Rattus norvegicus: one gene and its partners. The protein of the gene in region 2 purifies or fractionates together with the protein of the main gene of each other region. This does not show direct contact. Links are inferred from orthologs where the notes say so. Each region holds a gene or a part of one and is shown on either strand. Other genes may lie near its edges.

What was found.
Region 1: the proteins of Cdk19 (region 2) and Med13l purify together in Homo sapiens (affinity purification with mass spectrometry; 5 studies listed by BioGRID and IntAct, counting the BioPlex papers as one, with this or other methods). This does not show direct contact. The link is inferred for Rattus norvegicus from reciprocal best matches to the Homo sapiens genes CDK19 and MED13L.
Region 3: the proteins of Cdk19 (region 2) and Med12l purify together in Homo sapiens (affinity purification with mass spectrometry; 3 studies listed by BioGRID and IntAct, counting the BioPlex papers as one, with this or other methods). This does not show direct contact. The link is inferred for Rattus norvegicus from reciprocal best matches to the Homo sapiens genes CDK19 and MED12L.
Region 4: the proteins of Cdk19 (region 2) and Med7 purify together in Homo sapiens (affinity purification with mass spectrometry; 5 studies listed by BioGRID and IntAct, counting the BioPlex papers as one, with this or other methods). This does not show direct contact. The link is inferred for Rattus norvegicus from reciprocal best matches to the Homo sapiens genes CDK19 and MED7.
Region 5: the proteins of Cdk19 (region 2) and Med20 purify together in Homo sapiens (affinity purification with mass spectrometry; 5 studies listed by BioGRID and IntAct, counting the BioPlex papers as one, with this or other methods). This does not show direct contact. The link is inferred for Rattus norvegicus from reciprocal best matches to the Homo sapiens genes CDK19 and MED20.
Region 6: the proteins of Cdk19 (region 2) and Med16 purify together in Homo sapiens (affinity purification with mass spectrometry; 6 studies listed by BioGRID and IntAct, counting the BioPlex papers as one, with this or other methods). This does not show direct contact. The link is inferred for Rattus norvegicus from reciprocal best matches to the Homo sapiens genes CDK19 and MED16.

What each region holds. Positions count from the first base shown.
Region 1 is NC_086030.1:43,487,820-43,491,319, forward strand, and holds part of Med13l (mediator of RNA polymerase II transcription subunit 13-like), read right to left. Parts: intron 3,078-3,500; coding exon 2,128-3,077; intron 182-2,127; coding exon 2-181; intron 1-1. UniProt on the Homo sapiens protein: Component of the Mediator complex, a coactivator involved in the regulated transcription of nearly all RNA polymerase II-dependent genes.
Region 2 is NC_086038.1:45,323,501-45,327,710, reverse strand, and holds the start of Cdk19 (cyclin-dependent kinase 19), read right to left. Parts: upstream 2,801-4,210; 5' UTR 2,542-2,800; coding exon 2,414-2,541; intron 1-2,413.
Region 3 is NC_086020.1:145,672,318-145,675,817, reverse strand, and holds part of Med12l (mediator of RNA polymerase II transcription subunit 12-like protein), read right to left. Parts: intron 3,418-3,500; coding exon 3,282-3,417; intron 2,866-3,281; exon of another isoform or gene 2,624-2,865; intron 2,517-2,623; coding exon 2,355-2,516; intron 666-2,354; coding exon 303-665; intron 1-302. UniProt on the Homo sapiens protein: May be a component of the Mediator complex, a coactivator involved in the regulated transcription of nearly all RNA polymerase II-dependent genes.
Region 4 is NC_086028.1:31,353,844-31,357,836, forward strand, and holds the start of Med7 (mediator of RNA polymerase II transcription subunit 7), read left to right. Parts: upstream 1-1,193; 5' UTR 1,194-1,239; exon of another isoform or gene 1,240-1,787; intron 1,788-3,837; 5' UTR 3,838-3,993. UniProt on the Homo sapiens protein: Component of the Mediator complex, a coactivator involved in the regulated transcription of nearly all RNA polymerase II-dependent genes.
Region 5 is NC_086027.1:20,877,212-20,881,190, forward strand, and holds the start of Med20 (mediator of RNA polymerase II transcription subunit 20), read right to left. Parts: upstream 2,801-3,979; 5' UTR 2,688-2,800; coding exon 2,674-2,687; intron 1-2,673. Other genes in the region: Bysl (bystin), read left to right, coding at 3,198-3,462. UniProt on the Homo sapiens protein: Component of the Mediator complex, a coactivator involved in the regulated transcription of nearly all RNA polymerase II-dependent genes.
Region 6 is NC_086025.1:10,459,273-10,462,295, reverse strand, and holds the end of Med16 (mediator of RNA polymerase II transcription subunit 16), read right to left. Parts: coding exon of another isoform or gene 2,975-3,023; intron 2,645-2,974; coding exon 2,561-2,644; intron 2,492-2,560; coding exon of another isoform or gene 2,477-2,491; coding exon 2,284-2,476; coding exon of another isoform or gene 2,279-2,283; intron 2,104-2,278; coding exon 1,887-2,103; intron 1,215-1,886; coding exon 1,131-1,214; intron 941-1,130; coding exon 814-940; 3' UTR 501-813; downstream 1-500. UniProt on the Homo sapiens protein: Component of the Mediator complex, a coactivator involved in the regulated transcription of nearly all RNA polymerase II-dependent genes.

The DNA of each region.
Region 1 (3,500 bases), on a different chromosome or scaffold from region 2:
CCGTAGGTCCCACGCCCGGCCATCTTATGGAACTGCTGCCAGGTGAGTGGCCCCTGCACGTGCTGGATGTTCTCCCAGGTCCTGCCTGTGCGCTTCTTCTGGATGGCATCTTGTAGGAAGGGCTGCAGGGACAGCAGCATGCGCACCACATCTTGGGATGAGAGCATGCTCGTGTCCAGCACTGTGGGAGGAGAAAAGAGCAGAGGACAAGGATGTCAGGGGAGCATGCCCCCTTCTAGATGCCATCCTGGGTCTGCACTAAAAGAGATGGGCGACCTGGGAGTCAAGAGAAAGGCTCTTCCAAATTGAAGAACCGGTACTTTGCTAACAGGCATAAAGAGGGAAGTAGGTCACACTACTCAGAAGCATTCAACTGAGAAAACTGTGAGAGAAGTAAAGGGATCATGTAAACCTGCTTCCAAGAGTTTCCAGAAGACAGAGGGCCACAAAGTTTCCTTAGTCACCATGTTCCTTTCATTTATACATTACCATTTTGAGGATAAGGGAACAAAAAGGGAGAGACCTAGAAAACCTTGTAAAATATCCATCCTTGAGAAACACTGGATGTTTTATAAAGAGGCCCTATACTATCTACACAGCTCTGAAATGTACCTACTTCTTCCCACCCTAAAGCAAGCTATTATTTATTTCTCCTCATTGCATAACTATTTCTTTTATTAAATTAGCGTAAGTTGGGGCTGGAGAGACAGCTCAGCAGTCACAAGCACTTGTCCTTGCCGAGGACGGGGTCAAGTACCAGCACTGATATGGTGGCTCACAGCCATCTGGAGTTACAGCTCCAGGGAATCCTCTGACCTCTGCTCATCTCTGCAGGGACCAGACATGCACATGGTGCACAGACATACAAGCAGACAAAACATGCATAGACATAAATCTAAATAAAGACAGTTTTATCACATTCGGGTACCAGCACAGAAGTGTAGGTGCCCACAGAGGCCAGTGAGGTCATCAAATCCCCTGGGGCTAGAGCTACAGGCTTATGGGTACTTTGATATGGCTGCTGGGGACTACACTCAGGTCCTTTACTTGGGAGTACAGGCACTTTCCCCCCTGAGGCCAGGTCTTATTATACAGTCCAGACTAGCCTGGAAGTTGCTATGTAGACCAAGGTAGCCTGAAATTCAGGGATTTCCCAGCCTTTGTTCCTATAGCACAAGTACAGGCTCCTAGCAACTGTGTGCCTCTCTAGTCCCAGCCCCAGCAACTGTGTGCCTCTCTAGTCCCAGCCTGCTGGTTTCTATTTGGTTTTCAGTTTCCCCAGATCTGTCCTTCGTGCTTTCTCTCCTCATCCTATAGTCTGGTGAGAATGCAGACTTCTGTCCTTCACTTACTTTCACAAACCTGATGTCACCTAGTGTAACTGTTGCTGCCTGCTCAGGGGCAGCCCTGACCTCCACACATGGGGGTCCTCCCTCGTTTCCATCACTTACAATTTGCTTCCACAGGCTTCCTGTGTGCTTATTTAATATGCAACAGTCACTCTCCTAAATAGATTACGAAGTCCAGGAAGGCAGGTGCCTTCCGCCCTTGGTGTATCCCAGAGCAGCAAAGGAGCAGCCTGGTCAGCATTTGTAGAGCCCAATTCCAAACATGGTTGTCAACTGGAGGTAGGTTTCCTCTCCTCCCCAGGGCTGGGCTCGAGCCCACGAGCTCTACTATGGTCTACATGGGCTGACTGGCAATTTTAAATAGCACAAGCCCCTAGGATGTACCCCTGTAACCACAGCAAAGTCACATGTGGTCACTGATATGTAGCATACTGAGCAACCAACAGGAGAAAATACTCCGGACATGTGTGGTCAGTTCCAGGAAGAGACACCAAGGCAACTGCATACCGTAGGATGACTGGATACCTAGAGATAGGACTGCGGACTATCCTTTTTACACACTACAAGCTACAAGCATGGCTACAAGCGGCCAGAATGCACCCGCTGCTTGTGGTGTAATGGAATGGCAAAGTCTTGGGAGGCAGTTACTCCAAAAGCTTCAGGAGAAGACAGCCCAGCCTCTAGGCAGAGGACACAGCCCAGCCCTCACTTCCAGTCCTTTGGTTATCGTGGGCAGCAAGATAACTTCTGAAAGAAGCCTGCTCTCTGGGATACCTACCATTGCTGTGCGGCCAACAGTGTACGGTGGCACTTCTCACCAGCGCCTCGTCCACTTTCCCGCCTGTGGGGTTATCCACGTACTGCCTCCCCTGCTCCAATGCATTGACGCACTCTGTCCAGTAGTCATTGTTATCTGCCTGCACCCGGTCATAAGTCCAGCTCACACAGGGAAGTGCATGGCGGCTGCTGGAGGAGATGTAATCCAGAAAGCTGAGAGAGGCGAAGGGCTGTGTGTGCTGATTCTGGAGGAGGAGGAGGAGGCTTACGGGGGGCTCTGGGGCTTTCCGGGCGCCCTCCACCTGAGGAAGCAAGGTGGATTGGCAGGAGGTCTGGCACATCATCAGGCGTCTCTCTGCAGCTTGGCCAATGTCAGAGTTCTTCCCAAAAATATCCAGCTCATCTTCGAGGAACAGCCCCGAGTTGTAACCAAGTCTCCGGTTCACGATCGCACTGAAGCCACAGGTGCAACGGTACTGGTCCTCCTTGGAGGAGTCGGGGATGTACAACCCGACATCTGCCCCCTTGACGTTCATGTTGCAGGCGCAAATGCAGCAGCTATCAAAGTTCCTGTCCTTGAAGACATTCATCACGGAATCTGACAGAATCAGGGTGACATAGAGACTGTGGGCCTCAGGAATTGGCTGCATGGTGGCAGGCTCCACAGAGTTAAGGGGCCTTGTGGTAGAGGGGGTGGAAGCCGGTGACCCCTGATCGGTGCTATCGTATTTCACAGACCCTTGGCCACTAGCAGTGCCCCCACCTCTGGGAGTTCTTGGAGTCCTGGGGGTTCGAGGTGTGGGCACAGAGAATCGAGGGGTAGCTGGAGATGGAAGGACCCCGGCTCCACTGTTGCTGGCAGGGGCAGCGCTGTTGAGCGTCACAGGGGTGTTCATCTGGGGTGTGTTCAGATAGTCTGCATCTGCGAGGCTCCCAACACTAGGCACATTGCTGCAACAAACACAAGGTAGCAGTGAGGGTGGAGTGCACAGGCAGAAGCCACCCTGCACATCCCACACCACAGCCCACACTGAGCATCTGCAATTTTCTCTTCAAAAACAAAAGAGAAAAGGAGGGAGAGAGAAAAGGAAAGGGAGAAGCAGAACATGAGCACAGACAGACATACACACACACAGACACACACAGACACACACAGAGACATACACACACATACACAGACACACACACAGACACACACACAGACACACACACAGACATACACACACATACACATACACACACACAGACACACACACAGACACACACACACACACACTTCCTTTCTACATAATCCACACTACACAGTGCTCACCCTGGCCTGCTGGGGAGCTGCTGAGGACTAATGGTGCTCAGAGTGCAGCCCAGACAGTGCAG
Region 2 (4,210 bases):
GCAGGCCTCATCTCTCTTGCTCCCTAAAATAGCATCAAGCACTACTCATTTTCCCGGAGCTTACCAAAATGTAAAAAGAGGGGACTGTAATTTAGAATGACCAGACAATAGAATCCTTTACCATCCAAATCTGTGTCACCTTTGAGAACTACCACTAAAACCTTTTGTTCTGTCAAATGGCTGATTAGTGATGAACATAAAACTAATCCCACTGCCAAATCACCAGAGACGCAAGTGTTAGTGTAAAGCCAGGAATCGTAACCAGACACTGATCCACAAAAATAAAGCCTATCATGGCTTGTTTTACGTGAGAACATGTGGTACAACGGTCTGACAAGATATTTTCATATTCTAGGCGGTTTTTGTTGGTTGGTTTTTGCTTTGGTTTGGTTTCGTTGAGACAGGGTTTCTCTGTGTAGCCTGTCTGGCCTGGAACTCAGACAACTGCCAGTGCTTGCCTAGCTCTAAATGTTTTGTTTGTTTTTTAATTCTACTTTGAAAATATAAAAACTGACCTTATGTATTCTACTTTACCGATTTCACTCAAAGAATAAGTGTATTTGAATCAATATCCTTATTATAGAGACATACTGAAAAATAAGTAGAAATAAGAAGTGTTTCTGTTGTAAACCCAGCCATTCTATGCAATTCAGAATCAGAACTGTTAATTTCTCTCAAAGTTTCAGGGCAAATAAAAACATAAGTGTAAAAACAAAGTTAGCACAGTCTCTGGGAGATAGGGAAAATCCAGACCAACAGTGTAACAACACTGTCCAATCAGAGCAGCGGATCTGCCTTCCCCGAACATCCTGTGTAGATTCCCACTGGAACACCAACTTAACCAGTAGAGTGGATATTCCAAAACCAAAGTGTAAGTCAAGTATAGTGCCTTACAGCGCCCGGTGTGCACTTGGGGACACGTGGTAATTAAAAGAAACAGCTCAGACAACTGAGTGGCCTGGCCTGTACAGTTCTACTGCAACAGCAATTAATCATCATCCTTGAAACCCACACACTACCTGTAGTTTTCCAGGTACATGTATGAAACACTTCATATGATTGTGTTCTGGTTTTCCTCTTATAAAATTAGCAAACGCACTGCTTGCTTTGATGCTGGAGCTCCTCACCAACTTTATCAAAGCACAGCCAAGAAGCACTTTCAATGAGGTGTGCTGATGCTCTGCTTTTCAAATGCTCCAGCAGTCACAGTCTCCCTTTTGTATAGTCTGACAGTTGCTTGAATCTTTTTCTAAGAGAAAGGAATTCCTTCCGGAATTGGGACAAGGTGACAAAACCCACCACTGCCAGGTCACAAGTTTGGTTCCACCTGTCCTGTTCTTACAAACTGGTCTGCCCTCTGGCCCGAGGGGTACATTCTCGATGCTTTATCCAACTTGTCCTTTACTGCTATAACAATCCAGAAAGACTTCCCAAGAGATTCCTATAGATCCCCTCAACTAGGAAAACGGTGGTCCAGGCCCAAGCCTGTCACTTCCGTTTTCTGTTCTTGGTGGTCTAGGTTCTCGATAAACCAAAGCTCACAGCCATTTGACAGAGGATGAGAACTGGAGAATATTAATACTCAAGATTTCTTCCTGAAGAAAAGAGAAATGGGCCGAGTGTGGTGGCATACGCCTTTTAATCACAGTACTTGAGAGGCAGAGGCAGGCGGATCTCTGAGTTGCAGGCTAACCAGGGTGCACAGAGAGAGACCCTATCTTATAAGGGCTGGGGAGGGGTTTACCTAAAATAATCACGAGGCAGGAAAGGTAACCAACCAGAGAGCACTTGAAGTTTGTAATATAGAGCTAATCTCTCTCCAGGGTCCACCTTCAGAGTGCTGAATTCAAAATATTAAAGTGTGGGAATCGGGAGCAGGATCGGGAAGTCCCCAGGTAAACACCAGGGATGTAGGCTGGGTTGGCAACGTCGAGGAAGTCAGACCAGAGGGGCCAGTCAGGACCCCAAGCGCAGGGCCACCAGACGGGAGGCGCCCCCGCGAGCTTTCAAACCGCCGCCCCGGGAAGGCGCTGCGCCGATTGGAAGTTCCACCACGACCGTCACCAGCACAGGGCCAAACCGGTAACTCTTCAGCCAAGCCCTCGAGAGTCCCCCCGGGACCAGACCCCTAAACTCCACCTCCAAGCGCGGTCTCCACCGGGTCCCGCCGCCCGCTGTTAAGCTCGCAACAGTGACTCCAGGCGGGACCGACGCCCCCGACGGGGCTACGCTGTGCGACTTGGAGGGGCGCGACCGGCCAGCGGGGGGCGGCAGCACCAGTGCCTCCGAGTTGGCCCCAGGACGTCGCTCTGCGACCCACGCCGCCTCTTCCCGTGGGCTCCGACCCACCCAGCCCTCCGGGTCTCAGCAGTGGAGGAGACCGGACGAGCCCACTCCCCGCCCGCGCTCTTACCCATCTTTCCGCCTCGCCTTGTAGACGTGCCCGTAGGTGCCGCGTCCCACTTTGCACCCTTCGTACTCAAACAGATCCTCCACCCGCTCCCGCTCCGCCGCCAGCTTCGCCTTGAAATCATAATCCATTGTCTGCTTCCCCCATAGAGAAACCGGGACGCGGGGGCCGCCGCCACTCAGTCCCTCCTCCGCCGCCGCCGCTCCACTTCTCGAACAGCCGTCGCTCGGGCGCGCGCGCGCCGCCCGCCGCTCCGCGGTCTGCCTTCAGCAAGGGACTCCTCGGCGGCCGCGGCAGCCACCTCCTCCGCCTCCTCCTCCTCCGCGGCGGCGGCGGCGGCTCCCGCAGGCACCCACAGTCCCGCCTCCTCCCTTCATTTCCTTGTTTTGGAACCTGGTGGGCCGCGCCGCGGCTTTCTCGAACTCATTAACGAACCAAACGGCCCGCCCCGACGTCGCGAGCGCTCCTGGGAAGTGTAGTTCAAGAGGCCTGGTGAGTTGTGCTACCCCCTCGAGCGCGAAGAATACAATTCCCAGAGTTCATTGAGTCTTTTCGGCCTCGCCTCCACAAGGCGTGTACGCCTGCGCACTGCCGCCGCCCCACCCCCTCAGGTAGCGCGCGACTCCCTGTTCCTGTAAACTGTAGCGCAAAGTTGCAGCGGGCTTTTTGCGAGCCTGTGGGAGCTGGCGGGAAGGAAGCGTTTGTTGAGCCGGGAAGAAGCAACCTGGCTCTGACAATCCTTGGGCTAGAAGAGCGGCAAGCAGCTCATGAGAGCCTTGCTCAGGAGCTCATTCCGTCGCACCCGGAGCTTAGGACTGAGGTTTAGACAGTTGTACTACACATTGTTTGTTTTCTTGGGCAATTGATCCTCTTGTTGCCCCGCCCCTTGCCTCGTCTTATTGGCAGAGACTGAAGAGTGGCGTCCTCTTTGGTGCCTGGGTATCCTCCGGCTTTGGCTTTTGTCCCGCTCTTGATTGGTAATTGGATGTGCTCGGTTCTTCCTGATAGGTTAATCTTGTTTCTTTACGATGCAAAAACCCTATTTCAAAACCTGAACATTCAGCGGTTTCTCAGCTCTTGCTAGGAGAACCGTGTAACTTCTAGGGCCCACAGCCAATCATCTTTTTCTTGGCGCTGTAGTCGGGTTTTATCCTAGCATATGCGGGTGCGGTAGCCGAGCTTTAACCATCTGTCTGAGAACAATTAAAGCGCCTGGAAGATTGCAAAAATGCAGCGTTTTAGAAACAATCATTTTTGCTGGCTTGTAAAGCGTTTTTTACAGTCTGTGCGTAATGGCAAGGCTCACCTAGGGGCTTTAGGTATTTATCTTACTCATGATGTTCATTCGTTATGGTGTCTGAAGCTCGGAACCCGTCACCTCAAAGTAGGACTGTAAAAGCCTGGAAAGTGCCTTGCTAAAAATGTGTCCCTCTGCACACTGATTGCTTTTAAACGAAAAGAATTGATATCCATCTGACACGCACGTTTCAGCTCCCCTCCACTACCTAAAATAAAAGGCAGCATTTTTGTAACAAGGTTAAATTTATAAGGGAAATTTGATAAGGTATCTGTGTCAGAAAGGCAGCTTAGCTATTCGTAGACAACCTTGCCCGGGAGGCCATCTAAAAGAATCGACTTATTATTCCCTCTTCATTTCCTTCCCTCTCTCTTCATTTATCTCTGCTACCTACTAAAATTTCCAATTCTTGTTCCTTTCTGTATGTCTTGAGCTTTAATCATCTAGCTTTTCGACTTCATCGTGTAGGACTCCCATGCATACTAGACCAGGCATGGTGGCAC
Region 3 (3,500 bases), on a different chromosome or scaffold from region 2:
AGAGCTTGTGATTTTCATAAAAATGGACCGAGCTGGAGATTTTCATATTAAATGAGCTAAGCCAGTCTCAAAAGGGAACAAATCCCACATCCCCCCGCCCCCACACCAAAATGTAGAGTGGAAAATGAGAAGCTTTGCATCTGTCACCCATGAGAGTTTGTTAGCACAGACACTCCTCAGGAAACTCTATATCAGAGAGCTGATAGTATTCTTAGTAACGTTTCTAGGTGTATCGTTTGGCCATGGGTAAATCCCATCCTAGGTGCCCGTGACCCAGTCTTTTCCTTACATCCCCCACTCACATCGATGCGTGAGCTCGATTTTGTCTTACGCTTCCTTCCCTTTGTCTTCTTCTCTTCATCTGCTGCAGATTTTCCGTGATCTGACAGCTCGGCTGATTTCCTTTCTGGTTCCTGAGAAACTGGAGATGTGGGTTCTTCCTCTTCCTCCTCAGGAGGTAGGGGCAGTGGCTCGAGGTAGTAGCTTCGGGGCTTGGGCATGGTGTGTGTGTGGTATAGAAGGAAGTGGTGCTGCTCCTCATACTTGATAACCCTCCGGTCTACACGGACAGTGCCGAACCAGGCCCAGGACAGAGGAGCTGGGTTCTTCTGACCCTCAAACAGGTCCCATGGGGACACTTTCTGCTTCGTAGAGACCTGGAGACCCTATGGGAAAAGAACGTTCTGTGACAACACAACCTGGCCTGTCCCCAGCTCGCAGGGCAAACTTGCACGTATGTGGTTGGAATGGGCTTGGGGAACTCAGCAGACAGGAACGCTCATTTAAGATGTAGGGACTGGGGCTCAGAACTTTGGAAGCCCGTTTCTCCAGTCCTCTGTATCCCTTGAGGCATCTAAAGGTAGTCTACAATATTTTAGTATAAAATGACATTTTCATTCAAGTATGCTGTAGAAAATATAATTCTCAAGCACCTTTGTGAAGTTGGTGTTAAAATACTAAATTATAACCATCTTAGGAATCCATTATTTTTAGTATTTACAAGATTTAAAAGTCAATAAATAGTTTGCCTCTGATTGGACTCATATTCACTTCAATCCAACCTACATGGACTTCATTTTAGTCTGTATTTCATGTATATGTACGTGGCCTTCTCTGAATAAAGTATTTTCAGAGAACTTAATTACAGCAGCAGGTATAACACAAATTAAATCTTTCCCTTTCCATTCCAAGTTATCTTTACTGGATCCAGGTAAGATAATCTCGTTTCTCAAAGACAGAATGCTCTTACTTGTAATACTAATTGGTCACATTTCTTGGTAACTTCTCCAGCATACCAATTTAAAGCCATTTCTCCTCAAAAGACAGCCAGGGTACATACCCCCCCTCCCCCTGCATGTGAACTGATCTGCTCTTGTCTGTCTTCCTCTTTGAGAGCGGCTTCTTCTAACACCACAGGTAATGTCATCGCCCCCTGCTGTCTGCTGTATGATGAAATCCTTCTGAGTACAACTCACAGCTAAATGGAACCTGGATGGCTTCTGCTGGAAGCCCAAGTCACCTGACTGTGACTTCTCCTTTTTCCCTCCCAAAGCCACACTGCTGTGGCATTGGGGCTAACACTGAATTCTGGTGGCAAGGCTTTTCATCTCACCAATCGTCATCTTTCTTCCCTTTTCTTAAACTTACACCTGGTCCAACACTTTTCTGAATAACTATCGTAGGAACCCGGTTGTGACTACCTCTCCCTGTGTGACTTAAGGGGTCCCCGCCAGTGCCTCCTAATCCTCTCTGGACCAAGACCTGCACATCCCATAGCATTTGAAAGTGCATCTACCTCCTACTGAGGGCACTAATTCCCTCCACCATCTACCTCTGCTACTGCAGTGCCAATGGCTACTCGGTGCTCTTTGACAGAAAGGCTGGCCATTCTGTTATTTTAAGAACCCTCTAAAGTGTCTTATATAAAGCAAATGCCCATCTATACTGCTGCTTGGAGACTATGTACTGTTGTAACCCAAGTTTTACTTAATACTGATTACTCAGCACTTGAAAATTCTTATCAACCCACATCCTCTTATATACATATTTTGTTTCCTATCCTGACATAAAGTAATAATTGTATTTTATTTTTTATGCTAAGCTGCTACTTAAACTTCTTGGTAGATTCTAGGAATTTCCTTAAGTCCAGATAAGCATTTTAAATGGAGATCTTCAAAGACAATGGCTTTTTTAGGAATGCCAATAGCTACTATGCTCTGATGACAAAAACAAACCCTCGAAAATTAAGAGATTCAATTAATATGTTTTGTGTTTCCTCAAAGAAGGTAGGAAATGTCATTTGGCTTCTATAACTAGATATATTTATATACAAAGAAAAAAACATTTACTCTTGCCTGTTTTTTATCAATGGAGTCAAATCCAGCAATTTTGTTTCCCTTCGTATCAATCAAAGAACCCATGGGCTCACAGGTGATGACATCACAAGTCTGCTTTGGCAAAGGCAGCAACTGTCGAACTTTGTCAATGCTTTCTGACCTCTTGTCTCCTAGTTCTTTCTAGAAGAAAAAGGAAGAAAAAAATATAAAAGCAAGAGAGAAGTGAAGCAAAAATTCTGACTTTACAATAAAGCAAAAGCTAACAAGAAGGAAGTTCCCAGTGACACATTTCCTTTTTTTAAGCTGGTATGTCTTTAGTCCTTAGCGCAGTCTATGGAGCAGCTGCAAATTGGACTGGTGAAATGTTTCATTTCTTCTATTCACATAGAAAATCAGAGTGCACACAAAGGCAGGCTTGTTCTACATGACAAGTCAGAGTGCTGAGATGACAAAACGCCAGTGCTATTTGCTGTCACACAGCAGGAGCTGCCGCACGGACACTTTCCCGTACCCAGGGTCAGACTGCAAGGTAAACATCAGCTATTTTACTGTCAAGTCTTCAGACTGTGTGTTTGCAATGTCTATTTGCCGTTTAGTTCAAGTAACATTAGTGGGTTATCAAATGAGTCAGATTTACAAACTCAATGAAGAGATCCTTTTCTCCACTTGCATGTATAAATCCAAGCATGGGTTTAACGGAAATCTGAGGTTTGGTTAGATATCGGATAATGCGTTTTTAAATTCCTTAAAAATTAAAACATGCTTTATTTGAGTATACTTTTTCAGAGAAAAGTCCTTCAGATATTGTAATTTCGAAGGACTGACAGCCCATGTAAGATAACCACAATCTGTTGAATCAACTATGCATGTAAATTAATGAGCAGGAATTCAGACAATAATCCACAAACAACTTGATTTCAGAATAGAGGCTGATCACAAGCTTACTTTCAGTTTCTTTACTAAATTCATGTATGCACGTTTGTTCTCTTCTGATCCCCCGGGGGAAGCAGTTGATAGGTCAGAAGCCAGCGTCCCATTGATTAAAACACCCAGCATGTCAAGAACCGTTGTGAATAATTCACTGAGAGGAAAGAAAAAACCCATTTTATTCTTAAAAGCAAAACCAGGACATACATAATTATCTAAGCATTTCTACTGAAAGGG
Region 4 (3,993 bases), on a different chromosome or scaffold from region 2:
CCAGGTGGGGTCTGCTGAGACATCCAGCCCCTTAGACTGAGCAGCTACGGGATTCTCAGCCTTTCAGGTTGGAGGCAGCCATTGTTGGACTAGTTGAACTGCATCTTGTAAGCCACTCTAATAAGTTATATGACATATATATCCATGTGTGAACACACACTCATTTGATCAGTGTAACAACCCCTGGTACACTTTCAGTAAGATAGTAATGCTATGGGCATGGGAAAAAGCGAAGAGCCCTTACCTTTGAGAGGCTCATACTGGACTAGAGGCGAACTGATGGGGAGCATATAGCTGTGGAAGTTGGTGATGAGTAGACTGTTCTTTCGCTTTTATGCCTGCAATTCTTCACATATTTAAAGGAAGAAACTGGGACATTCTTGTCTCTGAAGCAGAGCTGTTTTAGCAGAACAGTCTTATCTCACTTTTAATTTGCAACAAGCGTTCTTAAGACTCCCATGAGTTAGGACATCTGTTAACAATTCTTTTATATGTGTGGTGGGGGAAGGCCTAAATGGAAAGTTTTCTTGCTGGTCCTGATGGCTCATTTCTGAACCTCTGGCTTTCCTGAGGCTCGGAAGAGACATTTGAAACCATGTGTAGCCTGGGCTACACAGTGAAATTGCCCACTCCTTCTAATTTTAAAAATTACATTAATTTTTTTTTTTACTTGTCGGTTTGTGGAAGAATTGTCATATACATCTTTGAATTCCTAAATGAAAATAAAAGTGAACGGAAGGGGGAAAATGAAGGTGTAGGATGTTAGTCTTAATCATGTTCCCAAATATCCCCATGTATGTATGAATATATCATGGAGTACAACTTGCTTTAAAAAAATTTTTTTTGATGATAAGGTTAGCATTGATATTTTTAAATATTGCTTATCTGTATTTTCTGACTTATATAAGGCAAATATTTAATTTTAAGAGTCTTATATAAAGGGGGTGGGCGGCGAGGAGTCGAATTACTAGAGAGTACTTTCTTTTACTAACAAGAAGTATGAAGAAACACTCTCCTGACCTGACCAAGAAGATAGACAAGAGATCTTTTCCCGGGAGAAGCGGGAGACGCGGGAGTGCGCATGCGCAGTATCTTTAGGGCGGGAGTAGGACCTGCTATAGGACAGGCTTCGTAGCCAATTAAAGGCCCGCGTCAGAGGCTTCTTCCTGAGAAGGCAACCGGAACTTGTGCTTCCGCTGCGCTGAGGAAAAAGTCGCTACGGGAAAAGCTAGAGCTGAGGTGAGCCGGCGCGGCGTTTGGCGACCGCAGCCAGAGTCTGTCTCTCCGCCCCCGCGGTTGCGTCTTTCCCGGCGCCACGCCGAGGTCCGGCGCGGGACAACCTGGGAAGCCCGGGCTCGCCTTCCTCCCACGTCCCTCAGCGGAGCCTCCCCGGGGCCTGAGGCAGGCGGCTGGCCGAAGGTGCGCGGAGTGCGGCTCGCTCCGGGCGTCTCGCGGACCGGACGACGAGCCGGACCGGAGGTTGGGAGGTCCGAGTTCTCGTCCCCACGCCACGGGCTTTTAAAGTGTCGTGGCCTTAGCCTGCCCTGTCGGCATTAGTAAAATGATAGTAGCCACCTGGGAGCGCGGAGGCTGGGGGAGGGGAGGGAGAGCCTCGGGCGGATCTTATCCTGTACCAGACTTTACGAGGGACAGGGACCAAGTGAGCCAAGTGTCTGAGCTTGCGACCACTCCCCCCCCCCGCCCCCCAAGCAAATGCTAGAAACTGAATTTTGTTAGTGTTAGCAAGTGAGGACATCCAGCGGCTCTGAAAAGTTCAGTTTAAACCGGTGAGGGCGGTTTTTGTAAGGTGGCAGGCTCTAAAACGGGATGCTTGAGTTATCGGGGTTTGCACTTCCGCGCAACAAAACGAAACAGCCAAACAAAACAAAACAAAAACGGAGTACAAATTCCCGTTATACATTTTACCCACTTCTGCACATTGGAAACTGGCTTCTTGTTTCTAAAATCAAATTGGGAATAGTTGTGCCGTTAGGAAGATAGAAGTGAGGATGCCGGTCACTTATTAGAAACCTTTGGGAAATGGGAATTTAGTATGGGTGTGGCTAAGGGAAGCGCAGATCTCATCTTCAAAAGCCCTCAGGGGACGAAATTTAGGCTGGGTGTTGACTTGATGTGACTGCAAATAGACACTAGTATCTTAGGTATATATACCCTGAAATAGTTGAGTTGGACGACCTGAAGAATTTGAAGTGACTTCCCTCAGATTTAATGTATTCCAGGTGTACGGAACCTGTATGTTACTTTCCCCTGTTACCTTGAATCTCAGTGTGAAAAAGCGCTCAAGAATCTTCTCATTGTATAATGTACTTAAACTCAAATTGGAAAAGCAGAGGGTATTTTGACCATATATGTTGCAGTGTTGGGACTTAGGTGTTAAATTTATGTAGAAAAGATGTTAAAATGCCAATTGTCAATAAAACTGTACTATAAGATGTTTGTAAGATGAGGCTTCCCTCAGAAACCTTGGAAAATTCTAGAAGTATGAAATTTAACAAGTGATTTTTGTCAAGACGTATAGAGAATCTTAAGTGTTTGGTTTTGGAAATCACTGTACAGTAGAAAGCAAAGTGAGATTGATAGACACCATATGTAGTTTGATTATGGAAAAGAGAAATAAATAAGGCATATGACTTTGTATATAACTGTTCTTTCCCAGAGTAGGTTTCAACGTATGCCTACCAAAAGGAGTCAGGCATGAAAAAGAAGTATATCATATACCATGTATAAGCCCCCCAATACAGACCCTTTTCTCTTAGTTTTCAGAATATATGTTTGTTCTTTGAGAATTTTATACACACACACAAACATGTGTGTTTTGATCATGCTTGCTTCCTCACTCGTCTAATATCTTGCAGACCACTACCATATCTTACTCCCAATTTTATATATTTTTAAAATATTTTCTTGGTTTTTAAAGATGGATCTTTAGCACAGGCTGGCCCATGTAGTTCAAATGGGCCTTGAACTCACAGCTATCATGCTTCTCAATCATTAGGACTCAACAACCATCATGCTTAGGGCAGTTTAAAAAATTGTTTAAAAATAACAGTAAATAAAGTCCTCTGCAAACCCGCAGTGGACTCTGCTGCTTGTTTTCCCACTTTGAATGCTTTATTTACATTTGTCAGGTTATCTACAATGTGTGAGTCCTTAATGCTAACATCATTTTTTAAACAAGCAGAACAGATCTTACTGAACGATCATATGAGTGCTCTTTAACAGGTGAGAAGGGCTCGAAGAGATTAAAAATAATCGTAGGATTTCCAAGTGAGGCTGTTCCGTGTTCTCAGAATTTCCTTCATAGACAAGGTTTGCACACCTCGACTTGGGTGTGTAGTTAGACACTAGACATGTCTCATGGTTCTCACTTCTGTTATCCTCACTGCAGTGAACATGGCGATTCAGCATTTTAAAGCCTGATTCAGTTAAGCAACAACCTGTAGTCTTGGGTGAATAGAGTTAAGAGCCAGGACACAGCAGGCCGTAGGACCAGAGCAGGTATTGTAAAGAAGACATGGTACCTGGGAGTCCGTGACTAAGTATGTGTAAGTGGTGATTCTACAGTAAAAAGGAGCCTGCCATTGTCCACTGTCAGTTGCAGAAATTGTACAATGGGAATTTATACTTGAATGTTGGAACCATAACTCATGCTATCACAAAGTAGACAGAGGGCAGACCTTTTTGGAAGGCCATCTTTGTGTGCAACTTTCTGCACCTTCCCTGCTCTATCCCATTAGTCTAACAAGGGACTAATCAGATCTTCATAAAGCCATAGCTTTGCCTTATTTTTCTCTTCACTTCTTCCTCCTTTGCCAGGATTACCTGTCTCCCTAGGGTGAAATTAGCACACCTGTTGTCTTTGCTGGCCAACAAGTTCTCAATTTTTATACTTCCCATCAGGAAGCTTGAAGATAATATGGTCTGAACCCACAACGAACTTGTACTGAACATTGTACTTGTGTTGATCAGGCT
Region 5 (3,979 bases), on a different chromosome or scaffold from region 2:
AACCTCACTGTTACAGCAACCCGGTCTCAGTCTCTCGAGTGCTGGAATTACAGGAGTACACGTGCCTGAGCCCTAGTTCTTAAACTCCTGATCGTGTCTGTGAGATTCTATACTGAATTGAGGTGTGGATAAAATAGCTGGCGGGACAATCCCCTTCCCCCTTTCCTGACAATGTGACCAGCCCCTCATGCTCCTGTCACCATGCTTTCTCTGTTGTGATGCTATTTTGGCTCAAATAGTGAGTCAAATCAACCTATCATAAGGTGCCTTTGTTAGGTATCCTGTCACAGGAGTCTGGTGGCTAATGTTCACTGTCACAGAGTCTGCACTAAGAACAAAGAGAAAGCAGGCCTTGGGTGTATCATCCTTGATAAAGAGAAAGAACGGTCTTTGCTAAAACTTCAATTATTTTTGAGGTTTCCAACTTACGCTGTAGCCTTGACATGGAGTGGTACTAATACTGTCAAGCACCAGGTATGTGCAGACTGTGCAGGCAGCACCTGCAGGCAGCACCTGCAGGCAGCACCTGCAGGCAGCACCTGTAGGCAGCACTTGTAGGCAGCACCTGTAGGCCTTCCCATTTGTTCATTTTTCTGAGGCAGGGTCTCACTATGCAGCTCCTCCGGCTCTCCTGGAACTCACTATGTAGACCAGGATGGCCTGAAATTCACAGGAATTTGCCTGCCTCTGCCTCTGCCTCTCAAATGCTGGGATCAAAGGCATGAGCCTTCAGATTATCTGACTGAATCTTCCAAAGGCCCCAGGAAAGGTCCTGTCCAGTACCAACTTATTGCAAACAGGGAAACTCCAAATCTAAACAATCTGTGCAAGGTCAACCTGGCTGTTCAGCTGTACTCTTTAACCATCCTCCTAGGGATGTGGTGACCAGTGAGTGAGAGTGTGTGTGTGTGTGTGTGTGTGTGTGTGTGTTTTCTCTTTTTTTGGTAGTGGTTGCTTGTTTTCAGGACAGGGTTTCTCTGAGTAACCCTGGCTGTCCTGGAACTCACTCTGTACACTGGCCTTGAACTCAGAGATCTGGCCGCCTCTGCTTACTGAGCGCTGGAACTAAAGGCCTGTGCCACCATACCTCTGGCAAGGTAGCAATCTGCTAAATTATTTAAAAGAGACTGATTGTTTACTTGTTTGTTGGTTGGTGACAGGGGACTCACACTGAAGCCAATACTGATCTGAAATGAACCACATGAGCCCAAGCTGACCTTATGACCTTACACTTTCATCAATCCTTCTGCCACTTAACCTCCATATGCTGGGATCATAGGAGTGCGCTTGGCGGAGACCTATTCTTTGAACAGTGATTAAATAATAACACTGATGGTATTTAACTGCATGAAAAAGTCAAAGCTTTTCCTAAACAACTGTTTTAAGATCCTTGTGTTGATTTATGATCGAATAGAAAAATCTATTAAGGGAGAGCCCCACTGTCATTAAAAACTGTTCCAATTACCAAACTGACACACTGTGACACACATTCCAAGATTCTGAGAAAGTGGAACTGATACTAGAAAGCAAGAAGCCCTTTTCCCAGGGACTGCCTTCTCTATACAAAGACGCAGGGTGGGCAGGCATTGGTGGAGCACTCCTGTAATCCCTGGTGCAGGAGGCAAAGGCACGGGAGTCTAAGTTACATACACAGCCCAGAAAGGTGGCATTGGGGGATCTCAAATGACTCTGCTGTGATCTATTTTCACTGTGGCAGAGATGAGGCTCCTGGTGTCAACTTTGGCAAGCGCAGTTACTAAGGAGCCTACAAGAGCTCTCCTTTCCAGAGCAGACCTGTGGCCCCTGACTTCCTGTACAATGGCCCCCAAGCTTCTTTAATCGGAAAGAAGCGCACCAGTACCAAGATTTTAAGTGCTGAGGTCTAGTACTTTGAAATTAATACCCACAAAAGCACGGTGCCCAAACCTTACCGACTGCCTCTTTTTTTTTTTCAAGTGAGACTTAAGACATGTTTAAGATAAAAGTCGATCAAAACTGTCTCAAGCCCAAGTGCTGGTGGCAAATGCCATCACCAAAGCACTCAAGAGGCAGAGGTGGGCAGATCTCGGTGAGTTTGAGTCCAGCCTGATCTACAGGCCTCCCAAAGCTACTCACAAAGAAAACCCTGCTCAAAAAACTGTCTCAAATACGTTAGGGAGTGGTTCATGAATAGTTAATATGCCTGGTACCCCGATCTCCAAACTCCCAACAGCTCCTTTCCCCTACCTTTGTCACTAGCCCCAATATCTTAAAGTGGCCAGTTCAAAGTCAGGTGCTATAACTGCAAGCAGAATACACAAGTCACTTTCTCCTCGCGCCCCTTTTTATCCCTTCCTCCGAATATCTCCTAGTCTAGAAACCTTATTTCTAACCGCTGGATTCTAGTTGCGACGGGACAAGGCCTCAAGGACAGAAAGAGGTACCGAGAAAAAGAAGGTCCAACAACTCTTGGCGGGTTCTTGGGATGAAGTGCTTGCTTTGCCAAATTGTTATGCCTGGGAAGGGAGAACCCGCACTCGGGTGTCCCCTGATCCACACAACCCCAGGACATCTTGGTCAGCCCTCGAGGAACCGAGAACCTCGGTCAAAATCCCCCTCCCCGGGCCATTACAGGCTCACAGACACCTTCACGACCCCACAGCCCCCCCCCCGCAGAAGCCCTTCAAGTCCTACCACGTCACTCCCATGGCGAAGGGTCAAAAGGTGGTACTGCCAAATACTCAAACTCAGAGAATCCAGACCTTCCCACGAGAGGCAGCCCCCTAAACACAGGAAGCGGTCGTTGACCGGCCTCCGGAAATGCGTAAATACTGAGCGCCAGGACGACACGCCCACAGGGAGAGGCATCTCTGGATACACCAGCGGTGACATTTCTAGTACGTCATCGACCCGGCTCCGCCCCCAAAACATACAAGGGGTTGACAACACGCCCTAGGCTACTTTCATGAATTCTGGAAAAGGTGACTCGAACATCCACCTCTTTCAGTGAGATTATCTGAGAATTTGGAGACTCCTGCTCCAAGCCCCGAAGCTCTTCTAGAGATGGCGATATATGAGGAACTTCCGGCCTCCGAACGCTGGGGGGCACTGTGATGCCTCAGTGACCTCTTGGAGACCGGAATACAAGGCGCAAGCGCAGTCTCGTCTCTTAGCCGGCTTCACACGTGTAAACTTTGTGGGCAAGTTTTTCGACAAAAATGCCCAAATTAAAGGTGACACGTGGGGCCAGAAATCAAGAGAGACATGCACCTCTGGCGGAGCAGATTCTGGCTGGGGACGCAGTGCGTGCGGGGACCCGAGAAAAACGGCGGAGACACGGGGTCGAAGAGGAGGAAGAGTATGTGGGACCCCGGTTGAGCAGACGGATTTTGCAACAAGCCCGGCAGCAGCAGGAGGAGCTCGAGACTGAACACGCGACTGGAGATCGGCCGGCAAAACCGCGAGAGCGCGCCACGCGGCTGGGTGAGTGACAAGGGGTGGAGTGGTGAGTTGGGCCGGTCTGATACTCTCCATCGGAATACTGGGTTAGAATTAAAAAGAGTAGGCGGCTTAACTTTCCCGCGTGGTCCTTCACTTCCACTCCTGGGTTTCGGGATCCAGACTTAAGCCAACAGAATGTGATCTCTCACACCAGTTCTAGCATTTATTTATTCTCTGTGCGTTTGAAGTATCTGTGGGCTGCCTGCATAGTGCTTTGAGCTGTGTTAAGTTTTTAGGCAGTTCTGATCCAGAAATAAGATCTTCATCACTCCTGATGGCACCGGAAGTGTAGCTCAAGGCACACATTAAATAGATAATTAGAGTAATATATTCCAGGCAGGAGTGGCGATGCTCACCTGTAATGCCAGCACTCCAGAAGCAAGGCAGAAGGCCTCCTTGAGTACATAGTAAATTCCAGATTAACCTCGACTACATTACATGATAGAACCCTATCTCTCAAGAGAGGGGGAAAGATATTTCTGTTTAAACAAAAACAGAT
Region 6 (3,023 bases), on a different chromosome or scaffold from region 2:
CCTGGTCTTGCCAGCTGTGGACATTTGTGTGATTGTGTGACATCTGGATTCTGGGGACTTTTCAGAGGGCACGTAAATGCTAGGTGGCTGGTGGCTGGTGGCGAGTGAGTTGCTGGCTGTTGAGTAGTCCTGTGCAAAGAAGTTAGACTTCACGATGGCAAAGGTCAAACTCCCCCAAGGGACTCACTCAATGCTTTTCCACAGGAAGTAGTGTAACAACAACGTTACCCCTTATCCCTATTAGTGGTAGGGGTTGAAAGGGTAGAAGAAAGCAGCAGCCACAAACAGCAGCGCCCCCCGTGGAGGAGGCCATTGCCCTGCGCTAGCCTGGCCTCCCGAAGCTGCAGGGACATGCCTGAAGGCAGGACCCCTCCTCTGGGGACCAACAGCAAAGGCCACAGACACCAGGAGATGGAGGCCAGCAGTCACTCAGCTTCCCTATTTGTGGGCATCTCAGCAAGAGGTGGGCAGTGATGGGGACTACGGTGACAGCATAAGCCTGGGGTACAAGAGAACTTTATTGGGCTAGTCTTCCCCTCCCATAGGTCCCAAAGGGAAACTGAGGCAGATACCCCAATCAGGACAGGGGCATATGGGCTGTGGTGTTTTAAAGGATGAACACAGAGCAGCCCAGCTCCTTCAAGCTGGGCTGGATAAAACCATGGGACTGGAGACGCACACGCCCCGAGAAGGGGCAGACCCAGGCTGCTGCCGGTGCCAGTGCCCCAGTGAGGATGTCAATGTTTCATCACAGACAGTCCCCTGCATCTGTTCAGAGAGTGGCTGTACATACGCAGACTGGCGGGCTGTGGCTCAGGAACAGCTGAGAGGCACTCTCCGCCACAGCCCACCACACAGGCAATTCTTGATCCACCGCTGTTCCCACTGTTTCACAGCAGTTGTCTTGTTGGGTGACTTCAGCATGGTGACACAGCCACACCTGGGGAACCAGGGACTGTTGCCTGTACTGTGGGGGAGACGGTATGCCCCCAGACCCTAGCCTGCTCAAGCCAGGTAGGACACAAGGCCACAACCAAGGCCCTCCCCAAGCCCCTACCCCACAGATCGCAGGCTGTCTTGTGTGCCCAGGAGGGAAGCGGAGGCCCCTGGCCATGGCTGGCAGCTCTCACCTGGTGCAGGCTTTGCACTCCTCCGTGGGGTAGGCACCCAGGTGTAGCCTCCGAAGGTGGTCGATCTTGGGCTGCCCAGGGGCCCTGGGGATGAGAGGGGAGGGAGGGGCGTGGGACCTGGGTCAGCCAGGCAGCCGAGGGTGGCTTCTGGTGTGTGACCCTTGGGGCTCAACCATAAGAAACAGCTGATGGCTTTTTCCTGGTGAGATAGGGCTTGTGCTTCCAGAACCTTCCAAATGTGGCTGATGGGACAGTGGACACACAGGAGGGGTTAATGGCTTTGCTGTGGGAGGGGCGTGGCAGTCCTTTATCTGTAAATGCTGGCCTGGAACGAGTGAGGGCTCCATTACAGCTTGGGCACATCAGTGGGAGGGAAGAAAATGGATTCTACACGCAGAGGTGTGAGTCAGAGGTGGAGGCTGGTGGGTCAGATTCCTCCCACACAGCAGGTATGAGGCCAGCCTGGGCTACAGGGCGAGTTCCAGGCTGCCAGGGCAACCCTCTGTCAAAAACTAACAAAAACCATCTCTACACACAGAGCGAAGCTAGAGTACAAAGACCCGATGAAGCAGAAGGTGGTTAGGGGAGACACCAGGCCCTAGAAGTTGCAGGAGTCTCTGTAGGAGAGAGCCTCAAGGGAAGCTGTGGTGTGGAGACCTTCCGGGGCGGGGCGGCACGTGCGGGGCGGGGGGGGTGAGGGAGGCGGGGCAGCACGTGCGTGCGGGGGATGAGGAAGGATGAGTGGGCAGTGCATACCTGGTGAGGCCGTCCAGCTGCAGGATGGAGGTGCTGCTGGGCAGGGTGGGTGCCCTGCCGAAGCGCAGGCGCAAGGGCTGTTTGGGCTGCAGGCGACTGACCAGGCCGTCACTGGCAGGAAGCCAGTCCAGGCTGGGGACCAGCAGCTGGCTGGGCAGCAGGCAGCATTCGTCCACCAAGCCCTCATCGGGCTCACTGGCTGGGCCTTCGTCACGGCCTGTGGGGAGGGTCAGGGGTCACTACACTGATATGACCGAGTGGTACCCACTACAGCATCCCTGGGGCTCTGTCCTCAGACGTCCTAACTGAATGAGGGGTGTGCACCCTAGGATCAAGGGCTTAAATTCTGGAGGTAGGCTGAGGGAAGATGCTAGCAGGGGGCACTGTAATGCCTTACAGCAAATCCACAGCTTGGTGAGCAGCCGGAAGAGCAGGGACATGCTGTCCTGGGTGTCTGAGGTGGCTGTATAGACGGGCAGGCAACTGGGCTTCAGTAGGCCCCATATTCGGATGACAACCATCAATTCCCGCAGCATACCCAGTGAGGCACCATCCCGGAGGAAGCTGTGGCCCGGCCTCAGTGCGGAGCCCTGTAGGTGGGGACACTGGGGGTGAGGGCAGGATGTGAGCAGCCCCCAACTATGGTATGGGTCAGTCACAGCTAGCCCTCGAACCTTGGTGAAGTCAGGGGACACATGTGACTTCAGCACAGGGCCATGGCTGGCAGAGTCGGGGAGGCCAGAACTGTGCTCAGCACCCTATAGACCGAGACACAGAAAAAGGCCAGTCCAGCGTCTGCGCTGCTCCCAGCCTGACCCTGGCTGACCTCCTACAGAACCAAAGAAGCCAGGGGCTGGACTTATGACCCTGCAGCCTGAGGCTTTTGAAGCTTAGAAGCCTCAAATGACCCGGGGACAGACAGGAAGATGGAGTCACTTTTTGACGGCTCCCATAGACAGACAGGAGCTGTGGGGTGTAGCTAGTGCTACCTTAGTGAGAAACAAAGACAGCAGCTCACTGACATATAGGCTAGGACTGGGAGACTGGAGGGGAAACTCCGGGGGCGGGGCTGAGCTCCGAGGCTCCACCTGGTTGGGCAGGCTGCCCAGTGGGCGGGGCCGAGACAGGGGCGGGGCT